Linked DNA regions of Kluyveromyces lactis. The protein of the gene in region 1 purifies or fractionates together with the protein of each later gene. This does not show direct contact. Links are inferred from orthologs where the notes say so. Each region holds a gene or a part of one and is shown on either strand. Other genes may lie near its edges.

Region 1 (3,617 bases):
ACCCGATCCACCCGCTGCTTCTTAGTCTTCTCCTCATACTTCACCAGAACGTCCTGGAAATCCCAATACTCGTAAGCAAATAATCGTTGGCCTTTTTCAACGTGATCACCCGGTTTTACGTACAACTGCGCAACAGTGATGGGATATGGTAGGTCACTGGTCACCTTCACATTAGTTTCGAGTGACATCTTACCGCGCTTGGAATCCCGCTTGACAGCCCGTTCCCTTTCTTGCAACTCCGAAATTCATTGTTATGTCTTCACGTTGGCTTTTATTTAACAGAAATGTTTGTTATTTAAATTCAAATTCGATCGATAATGGATAAACAGATATGAAGAGAGAAGTAAACAGAACATACACAGCATGAAGTATTCTTGCATCGCGTGTATGAGTGGTGTTACATTGATTAGCATTAGGAGAATACAAACGTTACTGACTATACGAATTATGATGTACATAGTTTTGATTCATTAGCTAATATGACTACTTATAATGAAAGTCAAAATATATCAGAATAAATCATTCACGTTAGAATCGTGATCTTGTGATTGATTTTCTAGCAACTCGTCTGTGGCAACTCCCGGTGATGTATGAAGGGCTAATTCTGATTTAGCTTCTTCTGATCCTGCTTCTGGTGCATCTTCCGATATATCTTTCGGCGTCAGACCTGATGCGGATCCCGATGCGACTTCTGAAAGTAAAGGAGTCGAATTAGCGGGGGTAATTGACGGAAGTACATCTTCAAAAGTCTCTGTGCTTTCCATCGGTTTTTCTTCATCTGGTCCGTGCAACAGCTCAGAAGCCAACTCCCCCAGAGTTGAAATGTTAGTATCTGTTATTGCTTGTACCTCTGGCGGTCCCTGCGTCAGAAATTTTTCGTCGTCGTTTTCGTCATCATCTTCGCTGTCTTTGTCCCAGCCATGCAATAGGGGATCAGTTTGTAGGTTATTAAGATCAAGAATCTCTTGTTCGGCCATTTTCTTCTCCTTTTCTATTCTCCTTTGTTCTTGTAAAAGTCTCTCTCTTTCTTCTGCCTCTTTTCTCGCTCTTTCTCGTACTTCTTTGACTCTCGGTATGGAATCTATCAGCCCCAAGTAACTACGCCTTAGCATTGTTTTCAATTGATTTTCAACTGACTTCCTCGATTTGGTACTCCCTTGACCGTAGGGTGAACAGATCATGGCACCTCGTATGAATGGGTTACGTCTCTTATTCGATACTTGGTTTTCTGCCCTTTCAGCCCTTCGTTTTACTATTGCATCTCTCTTCTTACAGTATTCTAACACATTGAAATTCTTCACTGGCGAAAGATTGAATGACTCGATGCCATGAAGGACCGTTGTTGTACCCCATTCTTTATCTGTAGGTATGGTTTTATGAGGGTCAAAGATTAAATCGGTTTCTAACTGACTTTCTTTAATATGTTCAGAAAGGGCAGCATTGTTGGCAGACTGGTCGCTATCTTTATTTAGCGCTACCAGTGGGTCCTGATTGACAACTTGACTAAGCATATTCAACAATGCCTTTTCCGAAAGCCTTCCTTCTTCTAGTAACTTCTTCTTCATCAGCCTCTCATCTGTAATGGGTCTCTTGTACAACGAGGTAAATTTGTACGTATGATCAGGCGGTAGTTCTGGCAACCAACTGGGCACATATTTGTTAGATTTGTTGCTCGAAGGTAACAAATTTAATATATCAACATCTTGCACGAAGAACTCTGAATGTTTAGAACTCAAAAGCTCTTTTTCTTCCAATTCTTTCATGAACTGCTGTTTAACCTTTAGCACAGTTTCGTTCAAGGCATTAGCCTCGTCCTTGAATTTCCCATGTACAAAATTCGATATTTCCACTTGCCCATTCAAATCTTTCAGATCCATACCAATACCTTTAAAGTAGAGGTTCAAATCAAGCTTGGAGATCTTTGTCCTTCGCTGTACTTGAGTTATCTTCTTCAGACTTTGCAATAAATCATCTAACTGTAATAATGAAACATAACAAAGATCGTCAAACGCCAATTGAGATATAACCACATTCTTATTAAGTGTCTTCAATTGCAATAGTACGGCCTGTGCAAACAAGCGTTCCATCGGATTGGCATGAGGTACCTCATTTAGATTAGGTAACTTATCTAGTCGCACACGTCTCTGGTCAGTCTCTATCTTGGCATCGTTTTTATCTTTATCCTCAGAAGTCGTCATATTCAGTCTCAAAGAGCCAACTAGTACTTTAATATTGTATGAGTGCTTTACTATTCGGTCAGTTTCATACCCATAGGATGAAACTGATTGATTGCTTTAACCCTTAAGAGCTAAGCGTTTGGAGACGTCTCTCGCAATAACTTCAATGCTTCAACTCATTCATTCAGAGTTTTCGAATGGCATAACGTTCGGGTAATACCGTTATTATTTTCACGTGATTTGCGTGAACTGATGTTAATAACATCAAGAGTAGATAAAGTTACACGAGGTGGACGAAAACAACCCGGCGAACATGTTTAAAATAGTTGTGCTGAAGCAGTTGTATCAATTTATGTATTGGATGTATATGGAGTTAAAACAGAAGATAAAAAAAGATATTAATACTAATAACGATATCATAAGAATAGAACCTGTTCTTGGCAAAGACAATCAAAAGAGATGGATCACTGGTTTTGGAATTGAAATGGAAGATCTGGTGGAAATATATCCTCAGGTGGACATATATCGCTGACGTTTGTGGTATCCATCAAACTCTCTCGGGTTTTGTTACAGAGAGAAGGAAGGAGAGAGAAAGAAACAAGAGCGTTAATGCTGAAAAATGTGTAGACTGGGAGAGGAAGAGTTCCTATCGTCGTTAAAATGAGTTTAAAAATAATAATAGTGTGAATAACAATGATAGAAGGGTTGTGTGGGCACGTATAGTGAATTATTTAATTCAATCATACTTCATGTTGGATAATGGAGCGTTTTCACCAAGATAAGTACCGAACACTTTATCCCAGAACCAAGAGGTGACACCAAAACCTAACTCGTAATTCTTGTAATGATGCTCCAAATGGTATTTCTTCAATTTACGCATGTAAGGTGGTAATTGTGAATGGTGCAAGAAGTAATGTGTCAAATCGTAGCACACATAACCTAGCATACCACCAGCGAATCCAGCACAAGCCCAGTAGTATGGTAGTAGTGCAAACACTAGTTTGTAGAATGGTGTACAAAGCACAACGAACAAAGTAGGAGGCATAACCAATCTGAATCTGTCCATTGGTAAATAATGATGAACACCATGCAACAAGAAATGCAAGGTAAACGCCCATTGCTTCTCTGGAAGACGGTCATCCAGATGGAACAAAAATCTGTGCAATCCGTACTCGATTAAAGTCCACACGAATACACCGACGGCAAATAAGAAGATAGCAAAGGCCTGGTTCATGTTCATCAATGCAGTATAAATATGATATGTGACGACTGGTAACCAGACGACCGGAACCATCCACCAAGGCGTCTTGGAAAGGGGCTCTAAAAAGTTTCCAAATAGTGGAGCTGACCCCTTACCGTAGTGCCTAGGTCTGTGTACTTGATCTAGGTAAAAATCTTTTGTAAATTTACCGAAAAGCACTTGCCATAATAGTGGTTTGT
Region 2 (2,145 bases), about 720 kb from region 1:
TTTCAAGCAAGCGTTGCGGTTTATCGTAACAAGTTATACGGACCTACCTTCCACTGTTAGTAAGTACACTGTACTAAAGCTCAATAAACTCTGGAACAAGTTTATTGGTGTTCCAAACTATCTCGAAGAAGGAGAGGAGCTTGAATATCCATCCTACAACTACGAAGAATAGATTAAAAACCTCTCAAATTGTCATTTTATATGACAATTTGTTTATAGATATTAAGAACTACAGGAGAACCAGCTGAAAATTCCAATTATGAAGATAAAGGTGATTATGTTCAAATAATACCCTCTCATAAGCTATTCATTTGGTTAATATATAGCTAATAGAAAAAATAAACGTATATGTTGCCGCTAAGTATGCATAAATATGGCATTTTGTTCAGAAAGGCGTAATACTATAATGATAGAATTTATATGAGGATTGCTTTGTTTTTTCACTTCTTTTGCCCAGCAAGAGAAGGATTTCAAGTACAGATATGCTAGGGGTAATGCGAATGTAACTCTCAGCTTGTTTCCCGTTTCTTCTTCTTAGGAGGTTCATTTCCCTTTTTCCTTGGTCTGCCTACCGGACGTGAGGTAGGAACGGGTTCAGGAACCGTTGTCGTCTCCTCATCTTCATCAGCCGAAATGTGGTCATCATCACCGTCATCTTTCACTCGTTTCAAAGATTTCCCCTCTGAATTATCAAATTGTTTCCTGGCATCGGTAATAACTTTATTCATCTTAATCAACTCTTCAGCTCTACCTAATTTCACCTCGTCCTTTCGAAGTACAAATCTGAAATCTTCCACTTTAATCTTATTCCTCTTCACGGTTTGAGCCGAGTAGTACGCATTGGCACATATATCGCTCAAATAAGACACCACCAATTCGTCTACACATTGAATGGTCTCTGGTAAAGGTTGCGCGACATCACCAAACGCATACATCAAAGAGCCAACATCTTTACTGAAAAGACTTGTTTTACGAATTCTTCTGGACATTCCTGTGTTGATCTAGAACTCCAACCGACTAGTCAGCTCTACTCCATGGAATGGACGAATGCGCTATAAGCTAAACTGTATAGCTTGATCATTGTTTCGTGATTTTGATTCTGGTTCTGAGTTTTATGTCAAACTGTCAACTTAAACACAGCGAAGAATAGTGCGAGTTTGCTTTTTTTTTTTTCGCAGCAAAAAATCGCTTGCGTTTTTTTGTCCCCAAATATCATGCGCAGTCCATCCAACAGTTAAGCTATATAGGGAGCTTTTTAGCGAGAAAGAAATTGACAAATCGCCTAACCCTTCCGCTTGTGTGAAAATTTTGAGAAAAGACGAACAGAGGAAAGGACATGACAGATCCACATCGCATCTTCTGAGGATCAGATAAACAGAGCAATGATAATAAACCGATTAGTACCGCTCAAGATAAGGTTTTAGTAGATATTATTGTTCCAACAGTGGCATCATTTAGACGCTCATCTGCGTGTGGTTGATATTGAAGGTTTGGTAAATATTGGAGGCTATTTTTCCTTCACAGCGACTGTGAGTCAAAGAGGATACAAGCAGGAATGAAGCCTGCGAAGCCCAGAGTGAAGACGTTCACGGGATGCTGGACATGTAGATCAAGGAAAGTAAAGTGTGATCTTCGGCGGCCCGGATGTGAGCGATGTGAGAAAGGTGGGTTAATATGTGGAGGATACGATGTAAAACTTCGGTGGACCCGGCCAATTCAGTTTGACACTATGGGTAATGTGACCGCAACACCTACAGGAATCAAAGATCCAGATGAGCCTCAGTATCAGAGAAGAAACGTTGATTTCGTTCGGTACAAAGAGGAATATGTGTATTATGAGGATATGGACGATGAATTATCAGCGTTAAGCTCTCCTCCTTTAGAGCTCATCTCTGAAGACAAGACTTGGATTATAAAGAAATTTGGTGTGTTCAAAGGCACAGATAAGGTCAAAAAAAGGTACGTGCCACGGAAGAAACGTAAGAAGAATCAAGTTTTCATTAATGCCATCGAAAAAGCTCAGAAGAAACTAGCTAATAAGAAAAATAAGGTTAAAACTGCTGATTCAGATTCGAAAGAGGGCACAAATTTATGCACTCCAGAAGATATGGAATCATCATCTGCTAATGATGATCATACATCTGC
Region 3 (3,266 bases), on another chromosome or scaffold:
ACGAACTCAAACCTTGTAGAGTTTTTGGAGGAGGAAACAACAAAGAAGAAACCCAAAATGGCGTCAAGGTCGTCGTCGGATTTGAAACTGAATCGCCTTCAAAAAAGACAAATGTCTGTGCAAGATCTTTCTTTAGACGATATTGTCAAGCAAAGACAACAAATATTGGAGGAGTTCAGCACTGTTAGAACTGTTTTGGTAAACGGAAAAGCTATCAATATCTCTCAATCTCATAATAACTCTTTCCAACGAGTTGGTAAACGTAAACTTGCTAGCTATATCTCAGAAACCGGATTTGATGATAAACAGCAGGATATACATGTTACAGCAACTCCGATCAAACCTATAGAGGAAAAGAAGGACACCCCAGTGTTGGTGGCTTCCCCTTCAGTTGTTTCAGAAACACCAGTTAGGGCATCGCCAGTAAAGGTTAAAACCAGGCACGTCCGTAGGAGATTATTTGCGCCGTAGTTAATACGTATATTCGTTACAATATTTACATATTTGATGTCTAAAGCTCACCAAAAAATATAGCATCGTATAGAGTCTTTGCATCGTCTCTTTCCAGTATTACGTTGCCGACAGTAATTCCGCATCTTTCTCTCAAACGAGTTTTGTCCTCCTCACTAAAATCACCAGAAGGGTTGTATGAAGATGGAAGATCAGATTTCAAGTTCTCTAAAGTGGACACTATCACTGTTGACAATAATTTTATCTCCAAGTCAGTTAGGTTCTTTCCGCTCTTGCTGTCTTCCGATTGGCTTCTGTCATATTCCTCGAAAACTAGTTTCGACCAGTTTTGTAAATTGCCTAAAAAGAATCTTATTGTTTCGTTACCGAGGACAGAAACACCACGTACACAACCATAGTAAGTACCGAATGATCTATTGATATCCAAGAATGTCTTAAGTAAAGTTCTAGTAACACGAGGTTTCAACGATTTGTGAACCTTTGGGAACTTTTTCAAGACGTGATCGAGTAAAGAGCTAGCAAAATCACGGACAGCATTAGTCTTCTCTAAAAACTCTTTTTTATTTTGCTGGTCAACAATCTTGTCGTCAGATGAGTTTTTCGAGCCATTACCACCAAGTCTCTTCGCTAATAGTAGTGTTAAGATAGAAGGCATTAGAGAATGAATGTAAGGATCCAAAAATACTGATTGATTACTCAATAACGAATATATCATTTCCAACATTGTAGTTAACAACTCCAAATCCTCTAAATGGTGAGTAATCTGCTCTGCGATAAACTGTATGAAATATGGAACAAGCTGATGTAGTCCTGTGTCAGACTTCAACGAAGTTAAAGCTGCTGCTCTCATCCGTTGTGAATTGATATCTTCTTCCTTCGATGTAAGTGCACTAGCAACTTTTTCGAAATATATCTGTAATTCTTTAGACAAAACGTGTTTGACCAATGGCTTAGCTTCACTTGCTGCACCTGGTTTCACTTGTGTCGAGATAGGTCCATTTGCGGTGGCCTGTCTTTCTTCATTGACATTTGTTTGTAAAGAGGTTTGAACAGAAGTTTCGTTTAATGGTGAGACTATTGCTCCTCTTTGCAACGGAACTTGACTCAGCCTTAGTTCATTGATATTTGGATTTTGTGGAATGGCAGGTTGAATTCCTTCTACCGCTAGCCAATGCGCCGTGAACGTTGGTAATCTTGGAACTTCTGGTAATGGAGTATTGATCAATTTTTCAAAATCGATCTCCTCATCATCTAGGTAATAAAGCGTCTGCCCATTAGCGCCCTCCAACTTATTGAACTTAACGGGCTCATTTTTCGCTGATCCTTCCTCGAATCCATACAATGGCTCGACGTTAAGGACACGTAAAGCTTTCGCAACATCGCTTGTAGTCAAAGTAGATCGCTTACTGTGTCTCTTAAATTTCACCGCTTGTTCCACGATTTCCAAAATACGGTACTCGACATCCATCGCCAATGACCTCAACACGTCATCATTTGTATTTGAGATTCCGAGTGAATCTGCCACATCCTTCACCGTATCATGCGGGGACCAAATTGTATAAGATTGTTGCTGAGAGGACTGCTGTGACATTATTGAAATTGAACACAAATGAATAAAGAAAAGAATACCGTTTACTCGAATAAAATTTATCGCTGTTTCAGTGTATACACCTGAAACTAGAGTTTTCGAGTGGATGTTCGTGCAATAGAGGAGCGCTGGTGTTGTATTCAAATCGTTGGCTTTGTATTCCTTACTTTGAAGGATGGAGTTGTTATTCTTTCAGGATTCGATCGTTTATGTTTTTCGTCAATATTGGAAAATACCAAAAATGAAATAACGTTATCATAAGTTTACCGGATAGAGTTCCAATTGAATATGTAAGGTAAGGCAACAAAGGTAACCATTACTGGTTTGGGCTTACGTACAAATTACAAAGAAACATACTATTTGTGTTTTGAATATGTCTTCGGAACTGACACCATTGCAGCGAAGTGTGCTCGATAAATATCGCTTCCTAGCGGAGTCCTTAAGGGAATTGAGCGAAACACTTTCAGATCTAAACAACACCCATGAGGACTCAAAACCGGAAGCAATTTTACAAGAGATGCGAGAAATTGAAGTGAAAATATCTCTTGTAAGTACGCTTCTCAAAGGTAGCGTATATTCACTCGTGATACAGCGACGGATGGATCACCAACAAAAACCTTCAGATCTATGAGCGGAATCGGACTGATTATTGTAATCATAATCAGAGTTGTAACATTACATTTTAATATATATGAACATAGATATACATATTTCATTTCTAAGGCCACTCTTTTTTATTGTATTCTCACTCTGAACGTAAGAGTTATAGGGGTGATCTGATCAACTATTTGATGAAGAGATGAATCGTTTACCGTCCATATCTACAACTTGTATATAACAAGTTTACCATCCAAACCAACAGAAGAAACTTGAGTGACGTTGTTGTTAGATTCCTTGTAAGCAGCCAATTCTGTAATTGAGTTCACATGGGTAGATTTCTCTTCTTGCTGGCTAACTTTACCCTTCAAATCCAATTCCTTGAACTTTCTCAATGCGGACATACCGAAGGCACCTTCTTCTTCATCATCCCCAGTTGATGCTACCAATTTGCCAGCACTCTTAACTGGGCTATCCAAAATCTTGGACACTTCCCAACCCCTTGAACCTTCGCTGTACAAAACAGGATGATTTGAGAAACCAGCTGCTAAAATTTCATGATCATTGATCCAACATAAGGTGATGAATGGAAGACCTTCTGGGTTGTCTA
Region 4 (3,993 bases), on another chromosome or scaffold:
CAATTGTTCTTCCAATAGTTTCTTTTGCTTCAATTGCCTTTCCTCTTCGTTCTCACCGCCAACAATGGTTATGTTATCGTTGATCAATTCATCAAGACCCAAATTACGCTCCGCCTCTTCACGCCTCTTTTCATACGCACGTAAGTAACCTTGAATGACCCTAGGGTCTCTGACTATAACAGTTTGTCGTTGAATGATACCGTTGGAATCTCTCTTCTTTCTAGTAATCCGTAACACTTTCTCGTCAGGTCTTGTCGAGGGAACATGCTTATTACTTTCATTAACGATATCTGGATCATCCATTTCTTCAAAGGGATTTTGAATGCTTAAAGACTTGGCTTGGTTATACCACGTCCTACTTATTTCTTCTTCATATGCTTTCTGTTGTTGCGCGACATTGTAACTATGACCACCAGCAATTTGCGGTTGATCCTTTGAACCGGATTTTACAAACCCACCCTTCATAGAGGTTTTCAAAAACGAAAAACCTTCACCACAACCAGTAGGATCACCAGGTCCATGTATTTGAATCATTGCTCTCATCTGTGTAGCATTCAAGAAATTCTTGGTAGCATTCCAAAATATTAAGTTCTCCTCCAACTCCTTAGCTCTTTCATCGAAGTTGTAGAAATCAATATCTTCCTGGAACTGTTGACCATAATACATGGATTCAACGAGTGAAACATCTTCAGGAGTAACCATTTTCTTCACGTTTTCGTTATCCAGTAAAACTTCTCCCTCCTTTAGTTTCCAGAAACCTTGATCATCACCTTCACGTTGATACTTCATGAATTCCTTTAATCTTTGTCTGTTTTGCATATCATTTTGTTCTGGGAAATGACGAGCCACCTGTTTCACTAACAGTCTGTTTTCCGGAGATTTGTTCAAAATACGATACACAACCATCCTCAAACGGTTCTTACCCATAGCAGTAACCTTTCTAGAATTCGGACCAGGAACTTCGACCACTGGGAACGTTTGACCGACAGCAAAGAGATGATTAATTTGACGCAAATAGAATCTGTTACCGGACCCATTACCAAGACTTTTCACCAGAAGGAAATCGGTCTTAGAGACCTCATGTTTGAAAACGGGGGCTCTGACCATATTGTTATATAAAGTGGGAACAATGTTTCCTGGACTGACGAAACCAAAATTCCAAAATGGTGATTTATCCTGCACACCTAATACATGAGTCTCACCAACGGGTAATTTTGGTCTGGAGCTGTCTGTTTCTCCCGTCTTTCTATAATAATTGATAAGCTTGTTAGCCATACCAAATTTAGATAACGCAACAGGTTGCTGTTCACTGTATTCCATCAGGAACACTTGAGCACTGTCACCAACAGTCAAGTCCGCAGAATGTTGGAAAATTTCGTGCACATCCTTACCTTTATCCTTCTTTCTCTTACGGGTCTTTATCTTACTGAACACTATGTTGGTACCAGGACGAATCCGTTTCCCGAAATGATTTCTATGAAAGTGTCTCAACTGATCTTTTGGTAACACAACTTTGTAGAATGGAGATTGTAGGCGCGTCGCCGGTTGAGAATGTTCTATATTCAAATTCGAAATTGTAGATCTGATCTTTTTTTGATAGTTCTTTTTCAAAATCTTGTAAGTGTCATCGTTAGAGATGTTGAACTTTGCTAGTAGAGATTTCTCATTATATGGTATTAGAGGTTTAACGACCTTTTGTGCCGATTCGATTTTATTCTCATTAGGCAAAATAAGTAATCGCTCATCATTCATATCAATTGGCGGTTCTTTAGCACTCACCTTACCATTTATGATATCATCTTCGTTCCATTCCCAGTCTTTCCCATCTTCTTCTAAAGTGTTCTCAACTGCTGGCGGATTCCTCTTGTTACTCGTCATTGGCTCCTCATTTTCTCTATCGTCAACAATTTTCTCATAATCCCATTCATCAGCTACAATGAGAAGATCTTCCGGTATCACTTCATCGTGCTCATCTTTCTTGTCATCTACAGTATCTTCTTTATATATCTCATCGTATGCTACTTTGATAACATTTCTTCGTTGAACTTCAGAGAACTCGCTTATAGCACTTTGCCAAGGCTTTACGCTTTTACTCCTCATCTTGAACAATTTTTTTGTATCCTTTTGAACTTGAAACTTCACTTTAATGGGTATGAGAGGTTTTAAAATTCTGTTTCGAAGGTATAACTCCCTTTGCCATTGATACTTCGCCAACGGTTTTGGAGCTATCTTGGTCATTCTTAGGACTCTACCCGGCTTTAGCTCAGGGAAATAAGACTGAAATAATAACTGTTCTTCCTTCGCATTTTGTTCCTCTTGTTTCCTTCGCTGTTCCTCCATTAACCTCCTGTGTTGCTCATCATATTCGTTAAATTGGTGTTGTTCTGGACCAAATGACTGATATGTGCTCTCCATGAACAATGCATTATTACCTTGTACTTCAAATCCAGCAGCGTCAACTTCATGCATCACATCACCATGGTCCATCAGAGTCATATATTCGTCGTCTTCAGTCAGACTCCGCTGAAACGACCCTTCATTATGCCTGTTCGGAGAATGGGATGGCTCTTCTTCCTCCGGTAATTCTTCATCTGCCAATTCATCTTCATCTTCAAAATCAATAGCATTCGGCAGATGCTCTGTTTCATCTTGCTTACCATTGCCGCCACCACTAGTATAATTACTAATATCTAATGCCCCAAACTCACCACCAAATAGAGCGTTATACGCATCATCTTCATTGCTGAAATCCTTCTTTGCCTTGCCTTGTTTCTTGCTTCCTGAGCTTCCAGCAACCCTAGGCATTTCGCAAAAATGGGTGTATTATGACTGGAATCAGATTAGAATTCTGTTATTGACAGAAATATTGGCTCACAGAGTTGAATGAACCTATTTAACCACCCTTTTTATGACTTCGAGCACTCTTTACTGAAATGTACATATCAGCTCTTCAACTTTGTTTAGATTTTGATATTGAGGGATCAATCCAGAGACCGGGTAACGTAATTTCAGTGCAATCCATGTAACATAAACCACTATCATGGCCCAGATTGGCCACTTCACTCGAATTAACAAGGTTATATGCAATGTGTAGCATGCACTCATCTCATTTACTGGCTTTTCGTTTCAATAAGTGGTTCGCTGACCTATTAATCGACCATTTTATCCCATTTAAGGTCAATTTTTGTTGATAATTCTGCCAACATGAAATTAAAGCCAAACATCAAGAGCTTAAAGCTTAACAGTGCGAGCAGAGATCTAAAGGTACAATGCGACAATCTTTTAGGTGTTAGATCGACTAACTCGGCCAATTATTTCAGCAAATTTACACACTGAGCCATATACTTAACAGAAAGTGAGAATGTCTTTGATAAGTAGGGCAAATCGTCTTGGAGGTTTCACGACCGATGCAAAGCATTGGGAATACGAATGGTCCACTACTGCTAAACAAAATGAAAATGGTACTGATGAGAAGGTAAAATATAAGTTCAAGCAATGGGTAAAAAAAGATCATCCTTTGAGAGATGTAGTTGAGGATGATACAGATGTTCTTAACTTAGATGAATTTGATAGGACGAAGATAGCTAAGAAAAATGCTCGTGTCCAGGAGAAAAGTGGCCCAGATTCACTCTCAATTAACGATATAAGAGGAGCTGTTGGTGGTTCTGACATTCCTGGGTTCTCAGGATCGGATGCTAAGAAAGAAGCCGAGAGTGAAGCTGCTGTTGAAACTCCTGTGGTTGAAACTCCAGCGGAAGAAACTCCGGCTGAAGATACACCGGCAGAGGTAAAAGACCAAGAAGGCGACGTAAAGATGGAATGATTCATTATATAACGATTACACCTATATACTGTAATTTTACTACGATTCATGGAATCCAGAATGTGGCCTGGACGCCCACTCTCGAATAAGATAAAGACAGTCCTTCATCCAAAGGAGGGCAAGCAGGAAAAACCATCACCGCTTTTGTTCTCCACATAGGACGTATGTGT
Region 5 (2,866 bases), on another chromosome or scaffold:
AGAAGGATTGTCGATGATGAAGTGTTCAGCTTTGATGCAGAAGGTAAGTTGGTTATGAAAAACGATAGGAGAAGAGGAGAAAATAACAATGAAGATCCGTTAGAGGCTATTACCAGTGGTGTTAATGCATACTTAGATGCTGTCAAACAAGGTCCAGTAAAGGGTCAAAAGAACAGACTAAAATTCAAAAAAGGATCCAGAGCTGGCAATGAGGATGATTTCAGTGATGATGAACAGGAAACCAAGCTACCAAAAACAAAACCAGCTGAAAAGGGAAGAATTGGTAAAAAATCCAATGGTAGATTTAAAAACAAGAGGAGATTATAAATCACTTTTACCTGATATGCACTGCAACGCCCTAGCCCATTTATCAATTTGATAGTTGTATATAGATGTATAGTAGAATAGACAAAATCGGAACCAAAAGATTGTTACATGTGATTGATTTGAAAACAATCGAGTGAGAGTGCGATTGTTTTGTCGTAAACATGAACTAATTTTGTGTTAAACAAATTATATTTATATATCGTATGCGTGTCCAAAATCCAAAGATGCCCTTCTTTCAAATGTATTTTGCATGTCCTCCATTTCGTCTAACTCTGTGGTAACTACATTGCCTAAAGTTAAGCCTCCCGTTCCAGAGGTCTCAAAATCATAATCCGTTTTATCAATATCGGTGTAGTCTTGCTGATCTTCCTCCGTATGGAGGGGTTCAAGTAAATCGTCAATATTCTCATCTTCATATGAAACAACTATGTTTTCTAACTTGTTATTTGGGTTACCGATAGGTAACTTTGAGATGAGTCTTTTCAGAACTATTTGCTCTGCTGCGTCTTCAGTACTTTCCTCTTTTCCTTCTTCATCTTCGTTAATTTCGATTCCAACTGGAATGCATGAATTGGTAATGATAGGTCGACTTCGGCTTAGTTTAGAGTATTTTAATCCAGGAATTGACGGTAACGAAATGAGATCTTGAGGAAGTTTCCCCGACTTCCTCTTCGCAAGTTCTAATTTTTGTGATGTCAACATGAATTGTATCCAGTCATCCATATCCCCGTTGTTTATCATTGCTTCCACCAATTCTGTCTCATCATCTCCATCGTTAGGCTTTTTGTCCGATGTATTCAGCTGGTTGATATACTCCGGAATCATTGACAATGGTTTACTAGTTTTATCACCAACTTTCAACAGGTCTGGACTTGGGGTACTGATAACTCGTGCTTCTGTTGTTGCGGGATCTTGAAGTAACCATCTTTTAAACTGTTGCATACCTTCATCGCCTGCCACGGACGGGTTTTCATCGTAAACATCCAGTAGGTTCATTGGTTTAAATACGCCGATATTGAGCATTCCTTGGGTAATATCTTGAAGGGACACTTCTTCATCTAAATCACGGCGATCCAGAGTAAGTTTCCGTATTTCTTGAATCATCAGTTCTAGATATCTCACATATAAATCAGTAAAAAGATTAACTGTCCCCATTTTGGCTCTATCGAAGCCATGTGCCCTTAAAAGGTGTATCATTGAAATTCGCAGCAGCGAAAAGTAAAAACTTTCATCAGTGGTCATAATTGTGAGGAGCTGAGTAAAGCAATAACACTTTGCTTGCTCAATGCTTAGAGCGTAGAATATACAAAATACTGCAAAGTCTTTGCAATTGGCCGGTATTTAACTTATGATAAATAAATCAAAGTAAATACTGCTTAGTAAATCAATCAGTGTCCTCGAAGCTCAGTACTGGTTGCATTCTGCATCGAACGAACCCCACAATAGACAGTTTTCGTTAATGTATAGTATTTGCATGGCTAACCTACTTATCAGACAGTAAAAGTTACAAGTTCCTTCTGTGTTTTCCATTACCCGGAAACAAATCACGTGATAAGAGATTCGATCAAACACTTGCTGTTTGGCGTTACTGGAGCATAAATCCGTATTCAATGATATCAACAGGCTTTCATTGCCATGGAGCTTTTTACATGGACAGCTTTACAAGACATCCAAAGAAGGCTACTGATTCTAATTACAGGAATGGGCAATGGTTGAGAGCTGAATTCTGCCTCTCTCGAGCGCAGTTCCTATTTGTCCTATATCTTGTCAACTGCAAATTTGGAATTTTCGCGTACCGCCAAACCAGCACTTCCCTCCTGAGACAGTAAACCATTGCATCAGTACTGAATAACACGAATAGCATACCCTGGAAGTAACCAAGAAGAAAAACATAAACAACATGGTTAACTTATCTCTATACACAGTTAAAGCTGTGTTGATTTTGGATGGAGAAGGAAGAAGACTTTACTCGAAATACTTCCATCCACCACACGAAGAAATTTCTGCAGATTCTCTTGCATCCAGCTTAAAGAAGCAAAAAGAGTTCGAATCTAACCTATTTGCTAAAACTCATGGGCAGAATTCAGACATTATGATATCAGACGATCTATTAGTTATTTACAGAGAATATGTCGATGTTTCGATATATCTGATCGGTGCAATCGACGAAAACGAAATTGTTTTGCAAGAAGCATTCAACGGGTTCAAAGATTCCCTAGAATTGATATTGGATACAGGTATTGACAAGAGGAGTGTTCAGGAACATTATGACATGGTGGTTCTAGCAATTGATGAATTGATTGATGATGGTATTATCTTAGAAACTGATCCAGCCACAATTGCCTCTAGAGTGACGAAACCGCCTTCAAAGGATATCCCATTGAATATAGAATTGAATGAAAAGGGTTTGCTAAGCGCGTGGGGCTTTGCCAAGAGTAAATTGGCTGAAAGATTACAGCAGGGCTTGTAAGCTTCTCCTCATTTTCCAGATTTCTTTTATAATCAGACACATATGTTTACCATCGATATGTAAATACTG

The links.
Region 2: the proteins of TAF8 (region 1) and TAF13 purify together in Saccharomyces cerevisiae (affinity purification with mass spectrometry; 5 studies listed by BioGRID, with this or other methods). This does not show direct contact. The link is inferred for Kluyveromyces lactis from reciprocal best matches to the Saccharomyces cerevisiae genes TAF8 and TAF13.
Region 3: the proteins of TAF8 (region 1) and TAF6 purify together in Saccharomyces cerevisiae (affinity purification with mass spectrometry; 5 studies listed by BioGRID). This does not show direct contact. The link is inferred for Kluyveromyces lactis from reciprocal best matches to the Saccharomyces cerevisiae genes TAF8 and TAF6.
Region 4: the proteins of TAF8 (region 1) and TAF1 purify together in Saccharomyces cerevisiae (affinity purification with western blotting; 10 studies listed by BioGRID, with this or other methods). This does not show direct contact. The link is inferred for Kluyveromyces lactis from reciprocal best matches to the Saccharomyces cerevisiae genes TAF8 and TAF1.
Region 5: the proteins of TAF8 (region 1) and TAF3 purify together in Saccharomyces cerevisiae (affinity purification with mass spectrometry; 3 studies listed by BioGRID, with this or other methods). This does not show direct contact. The link is inferred for Kluyveromyces lactis from reciprocal best matches to the Saccharomyces cerevisiae genes TAF8 and TAF3.

The regions. Positions count from the first base shown.
Region 1 is NC_006040.1:143,431-147,047, forward strand, and holds TAF8 (Taf8p), read right to left. Parts: upstream 2,199-3,617; coding exon 510-2,198; downstream 1-509. Other genes in the region: FCP1 (protein serine/threonine phosphatase), read right to left, coding at 1-188; SCS7 (fatty acid alpha-hydroxylase), read right to left, coding at 2,914-3,617. UniProt on the Saccharomyces cerevisiae protein: Functions as a component of the DNA-binding general transcription factor complex TFIID. Binding of TFIID to a promoter (with or without TATA element) is the initial step in pre-initiation complex (PIC) formation.
Region 2 is NC_006040.1:863,707-865,851, reverse strand, and holds TAF13 (Taf13p), read right to left. Parts: upstream 990-2,145; coding exon 510-989; downstream 1-509. Other genes in the region: ERO1 (ER oxidoreductin), read left to right, coding at 1-172; ARG81 (Arg81p), read left to right, coding at 1,556-2,145. UniProt on the Saccharomyces cerevisiae protein: Functions as a component of the DNA-binding general transcription factor complex TFIID. Binding of TFIID to a promoter (with or without TATA element) is the initial step in pre-initiation complex (PIC) formation.
Region 3 is NC_006042.1:979,219-982,484, reverse strand, and holds TAF6 (TATA-binding protein-associated factor TAF6), read right to left. Parts: upstream 2,063-3,266; coding exon 512-2,062; downstream 1-511. Other genes in the region: SLD3 (Sld3p), read left to right, coding at 1-471; DAD3 (Dad3p), read left to right, coding at 2,433-2,690; ARC40 (Arc40p), read right to left, coding at 2,881-3,266.
Region 4 is NC_006037.1:879,449-883,441, forward strand, and holds the start of TAF1 (histone acetyltransferase), read right to left. Parts: upstream 2,806-3,993; coding exon 1-2,805. Other genes in the region: RTT102 (Rtt102p), read left to right, coding at 3,362-3,823. UniProt on the Saccharomyces cerevisiae protein: Functions as a component of the DNA-binding general transcription factor complex TFIID. Binding of TFIID to a promoter (with or without TATA element) is the initial step in pre-initiation complex (PIC) formation.
Region 5 is NC_006042.1:2,524,106-2,526,971, forward strand, and holds TAF3 (Taf3p), read right to left. Parts: upstream 1,570-2,866; coding exon 520-1,569; downstream 1-519. Other genes in the region: mRNA-binding protein RRP12, read left to right, coding at 1-327; RET3 (coatomer subunit zeta), read left to right, coding at 2,228-2,797. UniProt on the Saccharomyces cerevisiae protein: Functions as a component of the DNA-binding general transcription factor complex TFIID. Binding of TFIID to a promoter (with or without TATA element) is the initial step in pre-initiation complex (PIC) formation.